Nothobranchius furzeri: one gene and its partner. The protein of the gene in region 2 purifies or fractionates together with the protein of the main gene of each other region. This does not show direct contact. Links are inferred from orthologs where the notes say so. Each region holds a gene or a part of one and is shown on either strand. Other genes may lie near its edges. The genes, in order: FAST kinase domain-containing protein 5, mitochondrial; mapk4.

The links.
Region 1: the proteins of mapk4 (region 2) and FAST kinase domain-containing protein 5, mitochondrial purify together in Homo sapiens (affinity purification with mass spectrometry; 3 studies listed by BioGRID and IntAct, with this or other methods). This does not show direct contact. The link is inferred for Nothobranchius furzeri from reciprocal best matches to the Homo sapiens genes MAPK4 and FASTKD5.

Annotation. Positions count from the first base shown.
Region 1 is NC_091754.1:22,726,946-22,731,200, reverse strand, and holds the start of FAST kinase domain-containing protein 5, mitochondrial, read right to left. Parts: upstream 3,000-4,255; 5' UTR 2,697-2,999; intron 2,430-2,696; 5' UTR 2,417-2,429; coding exon 17-2,416; 3' UTR 1-16. UniProt on the Homo sapiens protein: Plays an important role in the processing of non-canonical mitochondrial mRNA precursors.
Region 2 is NC_091757.1:50,261,318-50,265,135, reverse strand, and holds part of mapk4 (mitogen-activated protein kinase 4), read right to left. Parts: intron 3,031-3,818; coding exon 2,948-3,030; intron 2,591-2,947; coding exon 2,512-2,590; intron 2,358-2,511; coding exon 2,147-2,357; intron 1-2,146. UniProt on the Homo sapiens protein: Atypical MAPK protein. Phosphorylates microtubule-associated protein 2 (MAP2) and MAPKAPK5.

The DNA of each region.
Region 1 (4,255 bases), on a different chromosome or scaffold from region 2:
CTCAAAGGCATCAAACTCATAGACTTTCATAGATTTTGCAGTGCAGATATGCCAACTTCTCCGTTCTGCGTTTCCTGAGCAGTGGCATCCACTCCTGAAGGTTCAGCTCCACGACCCTGTAACCTGCCATTTTTAATTGTCTTCTCTTCATGGCATGAAGTCCCAGTAACTGCGGTGACTGGGAGCAGTAGTGGTTCCTGCTAGAGATCTGAACCGCCACTTTGATGGGGTCTTTGGACTCCAGGCCTCTAGGTTTGGTTGGAGTTTTTGTGAAGTCACTGAACAAATCCAGAACTGAGTCAAACAGTCTCCCATCTTCATCAGGTGGTAAACTATGGTGGGAAGCAGGTTGAACTCTGGGAGAAGATGCTGGAGAATCTGGGATGTTTTTGCCATTTATTAACTGTGCTAAAATTTTATCAGTAATAATCACACCAGAGTTGAATTTTTCCCAGCTCGGATGAGACGGACTAACTGATTTATGTCGCTCTATGACTGGTGGGTTCACAGGTATGGGCTGTCCGCTGGAGTCTAGATGCACTTCAAGGTCAATGGAGCGAGTGTGAGGTAGGATCATCCTCTTACATACAAACTTTTCCCCTCCAAGCAGATCCTGAAGAGCCGATTCTGCCTCCAGAACTTCTGGCTTCTGGCACATAGCCGACTGCATGAACTTCCACAGCATTTCAGCCACCTCTTCTCTAAACTTCGGACTTAATCGTGGGCCAGTCCACCGAGGCAGCTCCAAAGCAACAGCTCCATCTAAAGTGAACAGGTCCTTTTTCAGCTCCAGATGGGTGGATTTCAGTGCTAAGCTGACAAAGTCTGGGCTTAAAGCTAACGCAATCAGGTCCTCCGGGAACTGTGAGACAAAGGCCAAGCCTAGAAGGCCAGTAAGCAGGTGCTCTGGGTAGTGCTGGAATTCGGCTTTCCTCTGCCTCAGGCTTTCTGTAAGGCTTGGATAAAAACTTGGATTCTGACTGGGGAGAAAGCCTAAGGTGCCAAAGGCCCACAGGAGTTTGCACGAGTCTTTACTCCTGCAATGCGGCACGAGCGGGGGAATTCTCTCGGCGATGGCAGTCAGGATGCTATCATTGCGGTAATGAAGAGCTGAACAAGTCAAAGCCAAGTGCATCAGTCCTTGAACAGCCATCCCGTGGGCACGTCGAGGGACTTCCTGTGCCATTGCTTCCAGCCATGGCCTGTGAAAAAGATAACTGAAACGCAGGTATTTCATCACGTTCGCCACCGCAAAGTCACTCATCTCAGTCACAAGCGAGAGCGCGCCGTCGACAATACAAGTCAGTGCGCCCTCAGAAATTGATGTTTGGGATTTAAAGAGCCCAAGACATACAGTGCCAATCTCTTCAGGATGGAGATGATGTAAATGGCGCAACAGAAGTTGCTCTAAAGAACGGATCAAGTCTTTTGGGCAGTGCCTCCCTTCACCTATTATATATATCATCTGGACCAGCTCAGGGACACCTACTTGTCCCAGATGTTGATTAAATGAGTCATGAAGACGCTGTAAAAACTGTGGGATCTGCCTTCTGATGCAGCGCCACAAGTCAGCAGCTAACAGCATCTGATGTAAGCTCATCTGGTTGGCCCGGCGACACAGCTCAGCCTCATATACCCCCAGCACGGTGTGAGAAGAAGGGATTTCCAGCCATACAAATGACTCCAAAACCTCCAGCAGCTGGGGCACAGAAAAGTGGCGAAGGTGTTGCACAGAATACCGAAGAAGCATGATGAAGCGTTGGTCCCTTTTAAGCAGCGGCAGTTTGTCTGGGTGCAACTTGCTGAGCTCTTTGAAAAACTCAGAGACATCGATAGGCTTCATCTTGCCCTTTAAGACTGACACTTTCTGGAGTAACGGCAACACATCGACCCATTCAACGGGATGAGGACGACTGGTAAGATCGAGGGCGACAGAGGCGTACTCAGGTCTGCATTTTAGAAAGGCACGTGGGTCTACTTTAACATCTGGTGATTCTGGATTTTTGTTGCGATGTTGCAGCGCTGATGGTCTCTCTGGTTCAGGGACTTTATTGAAAGCCAGTTCCAGAAGAGTGTTTTTAGAGGTTGAAAGGTGCCGTGAGGTACACACGCTGTAGTGACTCCCTTGTTGCCACAAAGAAGGAGCCTTAGCAGTTAAACACTGATCATCTTCGACATCGTTATCTGTCTGGCGGCGAGAATTTGAGTTCCACGCAGAGCGATGATACGGTAAAGGGTTGTAATGTAGTCTGTATCCTCCATGGAAAGAGCTTTCTTGGTGATGCAACACTTCCTTCTCCTCCTGGTCAGTTATGTCATCTTTTGATCTGATGTGTTGAGCCTTGGTAAAACTTTTTCTCCAGTTTGGAAGGGAACGAAGCCTTGCAGCCCTCCAACACAACACACAGGCTGCCATCAGAGAGCTAGCACTGAAACGAGAGGCAAAGGTTACGTCAACTAATTTGTTGTCAAACTTTATTTTGGGATGTTTAATAAGAATTGTATAACGTATATTATATAAAATAATAATTTAGCTGCGCATATTGATTGCAGAGTGACCTAGTGTTTAAACAAGAGCAGCGTACAACACGGCATGACTGGACGTTAGTTTGAAGCTATCGTGGACCAAACATCGTCATCAGAGTTGATCATTAAAGCAGAAACTCTAACTTTACTGTGGTGTTGATATAACTCACCTTTATTTAATTTTTGGCATGAAACCTCGTGGAAACCACCCATTTCTTAGGGTTCAACCGTTGAGAGAGGTCTTTTTCCAATCACACCGGAACTCAAGGGTTTTATTTTCAAAATAAAACAAACCAGACGCCTGTAAATCGCTTTACAGAGTAAAATATATAAAATTGTTATTTTGGATCATTATTTATACTAGATGTTTAAAAAACTAAAATATTCAACGTAGAATGACGTTGATGGACATGGAAATGCGTCAACGATATATTATTGTGGCAGAAAAATAACTTCCGGGTAAAGGGGCAATAGTTTGATCTATGGCAGCCGCATTGGTTCAAGAAACAGCAAAAACGAAACACAATTTTTATTTTTTATTTATCTTTTTTTTTCATTCCAAAAATCGTCTTTTATCAAAATATCCTAAATTTTAAACTGAAACAATATACATTTGCTTTATTTCAAATGCTAATTTCACACTTGGATATAATGTTGCTAAATAACAAAATTATCACTATGTCACACAAAACGTTTAAACAAAGCATTACTATTGTATTACCACGTGGGTTATATATTTCTGCTAAATATTTCAAAGTGAAAATTAAAAAAAATTAAAAAAGTTATTCTGCATGTTTTTGTTTTCCGTTTATTCTTAATTTGTATCAGCAGAAATTGAGATTGAAGTCAAACTATTTTTTGAGTGAGCTCATATGAAAACGCTGATGTTTGTCACTTGTGACTTTTTTATTTTTCTAATGACTGTGCATATGTTTCACAACTTAATTAGAACATTAACTCTTTTTCTTGATTTTTGTACAGTATTCTGTATTATTTCTGTTCATGCATAGCGTGTATAGCACTTAAGGCATGTTGTCATGATTTTTTTTTTATGATAACAGGCATATCCCAAAAGTGCTTCATCCAACCCATTATAGATAAACCCTTGAAGAATAAATAATCCAATAAAACTATTTTACATCTGAGTAATAACGTGCCAGGGCAAGCTATTATTATTTGTTGTATTGTACTTGTTTTTCTGTTTGAAATTCAATAAATTTTGACCTATGAGTAGTCTTTTTTATTGTAACAAAATTAAATCTGAAACAACAGACAATACATTTATGAACTATTATGAACTTTGATCTTTGAAAACATTAATGTTGTGATTATTTTCCCACACCACTGGGACATTTTAAGTTGGATGGCATTAAATTGTACTGAAAGCAACCATTATTGTTTTTCAACAAACATCTCACAACTTTCAAAAGCATTCATCTTAATGTAGGCCTGCTGCATCCAATCATCTCACCGATATTTAACTTATTTTTATTCACAAATTACAATCTGCATGTGTGTTCAAAGCTATTTTTGCTGGAGCTTTGTAGAGATTACATTTAATTTTCCTCACGTTTGGCGACACTTCCCTATGCAGTTATATTACGTAAAATTCGGATCAAAACACAAGTTGCTTTTATTGTTCATATTTTTTAACGTATTCATGCATTCTATGTGTAATATATTATCATACAGAACTATCTAATAAAAAATCATCTTTAATTTTTTTGAA
Region 2 (3,818 bases):
GGCCGAGAACCTACCCAGCAAGAGCTGAAGGTCACAGCTGGGTGAAGCTAGGAGCACCACATCATCCGCAAAAAGCAGAGACGAGATTCTCCTGCCACCAAACTCGACACACTCCACACCACGGCTGCGCCTAGAAATTCTGTCCATAAAGATAATGAACAGAACCGGTGACAAAGGGCAGCCCTGTCGGAGTCCAACCCTCACTGGGAACAGGTCCAAGTTACTACCAGCTATGTGGACCAAACTCACGCTCCTCTGGTAAAGGGACTGAATGGCCCTTAACAGAAAGCCACCCACCCCATACTCCTGGAGCGTCCCCCACAGGGTGCCCTGGGGACACGGTCATAAGCCTTCTCCAAATCCACAAAACACATGTGGATTGGTTGGGCAAACTCCCATGCCCCCTCCATCACCCTTGCAAGGGTATAGAGCTGGTCCACAGTTCCACGGCCAGGACGCTAACCCTAACCCTACCCTCCTCAATCTGAGATTCAACTATCGATCAGACCCTCCTCTCCAGTACCTTGGCGTAGACCTTTCCAGGGAGGCTGAGGAGTGTGATCCCCTATAGTTGGAACACACCCTCAGGTCACCCTTCTTAAAGACGGAGACCACCACCCCGGTCTGCCACTCCACAGGAACTGCCCCAGATGACCACGCAATGTTGCAGAGACGTGTCAGCCACGACAGCCCTACAACTTCCATAGCCTTGAGATACCCAGGACGAACCTCATCCGCCCCCGGGGCTCCGCCGCTGTGTAGTTGTTTGACTACCTCAGCAACGTCTGCCCCAGAGATTGGACATTCCATCTCCAGGTCTCCCGGCTCTGGTTCCTCCTCGGAATGCGCATAGGTGGGATTGAGGAGCTCCTCAAAGTATTCCTTACACCGTCCGACTATAGCCTCAGTTGACGTCAGCAGCTCCCCATCCCCACTGTAAACAGTGTGAGCGAGTTGCTGCCTTCCTCTCCTGAGGCGCCGGACAGTTTGCCAGAACCTCTTTTGAGCCGATCGATAGTCTTTCTCCATGGCCTCACCAAACTCCTCCCACGCCCGAGATTTTGCCTAGGCAACTGCCACTGCTGCACCCCACTTGGCTATCCGGTACCTGTCTGCTGCCTCCAGAGACCCACAGACCAGCCACGCCCTGTAGGCCTCCTTCTTCAGCCTGACTCCCTGAACCTCTTGTGTCCACCAGCGGTTACGGGGGTTGCCCCCACGACTGGCACCGGCCACCTTGCGACCACAGCTAGCAACAGCCACCTCAACAATCGCAGAGTGGAACAAGGCCCACTCGGAGTCAATGTCCCCCACTGCTCTCGGGACGTGGTCAAAGCTCTGCCGGAGGTGAGAGTTGAAGACCGTCTTGACAGGTTCTTCTGCCAGGTGTCCCCAGCAGACCCTCACTATGCATTTGGGTCTGCCAGGTCTACGCAGCATCTTCCCCTGCCATCTGATCCAACTCACCACCAGGTGGTGATCAGTTGACAGCTCCGCTCCTCTTTTCACCCGGGTGTCCAAAACATACGGCCGCAGGTCAGATGATACAACTACAAAGTCTATCATCGACCTGCAACCTAGGCTGCCCTGGTACCAAGTGTACCGATGGGCATCCTTATGTTCGAACATGGTGTTTGTTATGGCCAAACTGCGGCTTTCTGCATTTTTCAAACAGGAAGTGGGGAGCGAAGTAAAGCCTGGGGCACACCAGAGGCAGAGGGGAATGCGCTGCGCCCGAGATTTTGAGAAGTCCAGTGGAAACACAGGATGCGCTGTTACGCTGAGCGCGTCTTGGAAAATTGTGCGATAGTCACAACATCACGCGGGACTTGTGTCCGCCTCTGGTGTGCCCCAGGCTTGACTGCGGTAGGGGTTGACTTGCTCTTTATGGAAATCTACTGCTCAACTTTCAAAACGGAAGACCAACTGGCTTTTTGAAAGTTAAAATAAATAAATAAGGTGTGGTTCATGGCTTTTGGATAGCATTGAAGAAAAAAAAAAGTTGTTTCTTTGGTGGAAAATCAAACAAATTGTCCAGATTTTTTATGGACTCACTAAATTTCAGCTACAAAAACAAATAATTAAATACTACTACTACTAACAATAATAATAATGATAAAAACATTTTGAAAAGCTGGATCAGCACCTTTCCCAGTAAAAGCTGGAGGTCTGACTGTTACTCAGACTTTGATCTGTAATGAGGCCGTCCAGCTCGTCCTCAATGCGGAAGGGATGTGATGAGGTGGGCTCGTCCTCGGGACAGGAGTACTGCTGGAGGAACGGGTAGGACAGGGCCTCTTCAGCTGTCAGACGATCCATGGGGTTAAAGGTCAAAATGCGTTCCAGAAAATCCACAGCTGGGAAGCAGATAAGTAGAGCTTAGTGAAGCGAGTTCCTTTTAAAATTCCTAACTTGTTTTTTCATCGGTCATTGAAAAACTGTATTTTTATTTATTTATCTGGTTTCTGTTTCTTTTTACACAACAACCCCTTTTTTACTGCCAGCACTCACTCTGAGCATCCACTTCAGGCAGCAGCTCAGAAAAGGGTTTCCTGACTTTCCACCCATTACTGACATATGAAGGCATCACCTAGAAAAAACATGGAGGAAAGAAATTATACACAGGTCTTTATTTATTTATTTTCTAATTTATATTTTACTTTAGAAAGTAAGATTGGTTTGATTTCTGTCTCTTTGCTAAAAAAACAACTAATCCAATAGCAATTTTAAATTCTTTTCCTATTTGTATAATGTTGAATTATTATTTATTTATTTGCATTTGCAGAATTAAACTGCGATAAAGCAGATTTCAACTGAGTCAGAAGTCATGCTGTAAATGTTTTCTGTGCACATCAGCCACATTTTATAACTGCTGCCTACTTTCTGCTGACAGACAACATCTGTCAATATCAGATTGCAGATATCCGTCCTGCAGCCAAGGTGTCACCTGCATCAGATCCTGCCTGTCCTCCTCTCTCAGCACCGGCACTGTGTCGAGAATCAGCTGCATCTGCTCCAGCTCGTGGGCTCCTGGGGGACAGAGACGTCCAATCAGAGGCAAGCAGCGAGAGGAGACAGAGAATCAGTTACATAAGGAAAGAAATGAAGTCAAACAAGGATAACTGGGGGCTGAGAGAGCTGTCAGGAGATAGAAAAACCAAAGTTAGAAGATTTAATTAAAAGGGTCCAGGCAGGCTGCAAGTCTCTTGGGTTTACTGCTCCTAAATGTACACATAATTGGTGAGAGATTATTAAATATCATAAGAAATTAATAATCTTTTTTAATTTAACTAGACTTGTCTCTATAACTAGTTCCAACAAACCATTTTAAACCAACTTTAAGCCACTCTGCACACTGGAAGAAATCAGCTGTTGTGTATTTGAGCCCTTTTAGCTAATTTAATGTTTTTGACGTGAGAGATTATGGATTATGGATGTTTCCAGCTGACAGCAGCACACACACAGTGTGGATTTCTATTTTCATCATTGTGTTCAGGACAAACAGCAGGGGGTGCTATATCCACACGTTGCTCATTCTGAGAGAAGAGCAAGCCTTGTATTCTGCTGTTAAGTGCAGTGTTTTCCCTCCGGTATACAAAAAAATGGGGTGTGTTGCCCTCCATCCCTTGTTTGCTAAGCGAGAGGTGAGTAAAGCATTCCAGACACCTGATGTGTGAAAGGCTCTCAAGCAGGAATGACGGGGAGAAGATGACCCTTTTGAGTTTCTGATGTCAGCTCTGAAGGGAGAGGGTTGGTGTAGGATGAAACCAGCTTGTCAGTTAGAAATATATTTCCTTCCGACAGGGTGTGTTTCTCAA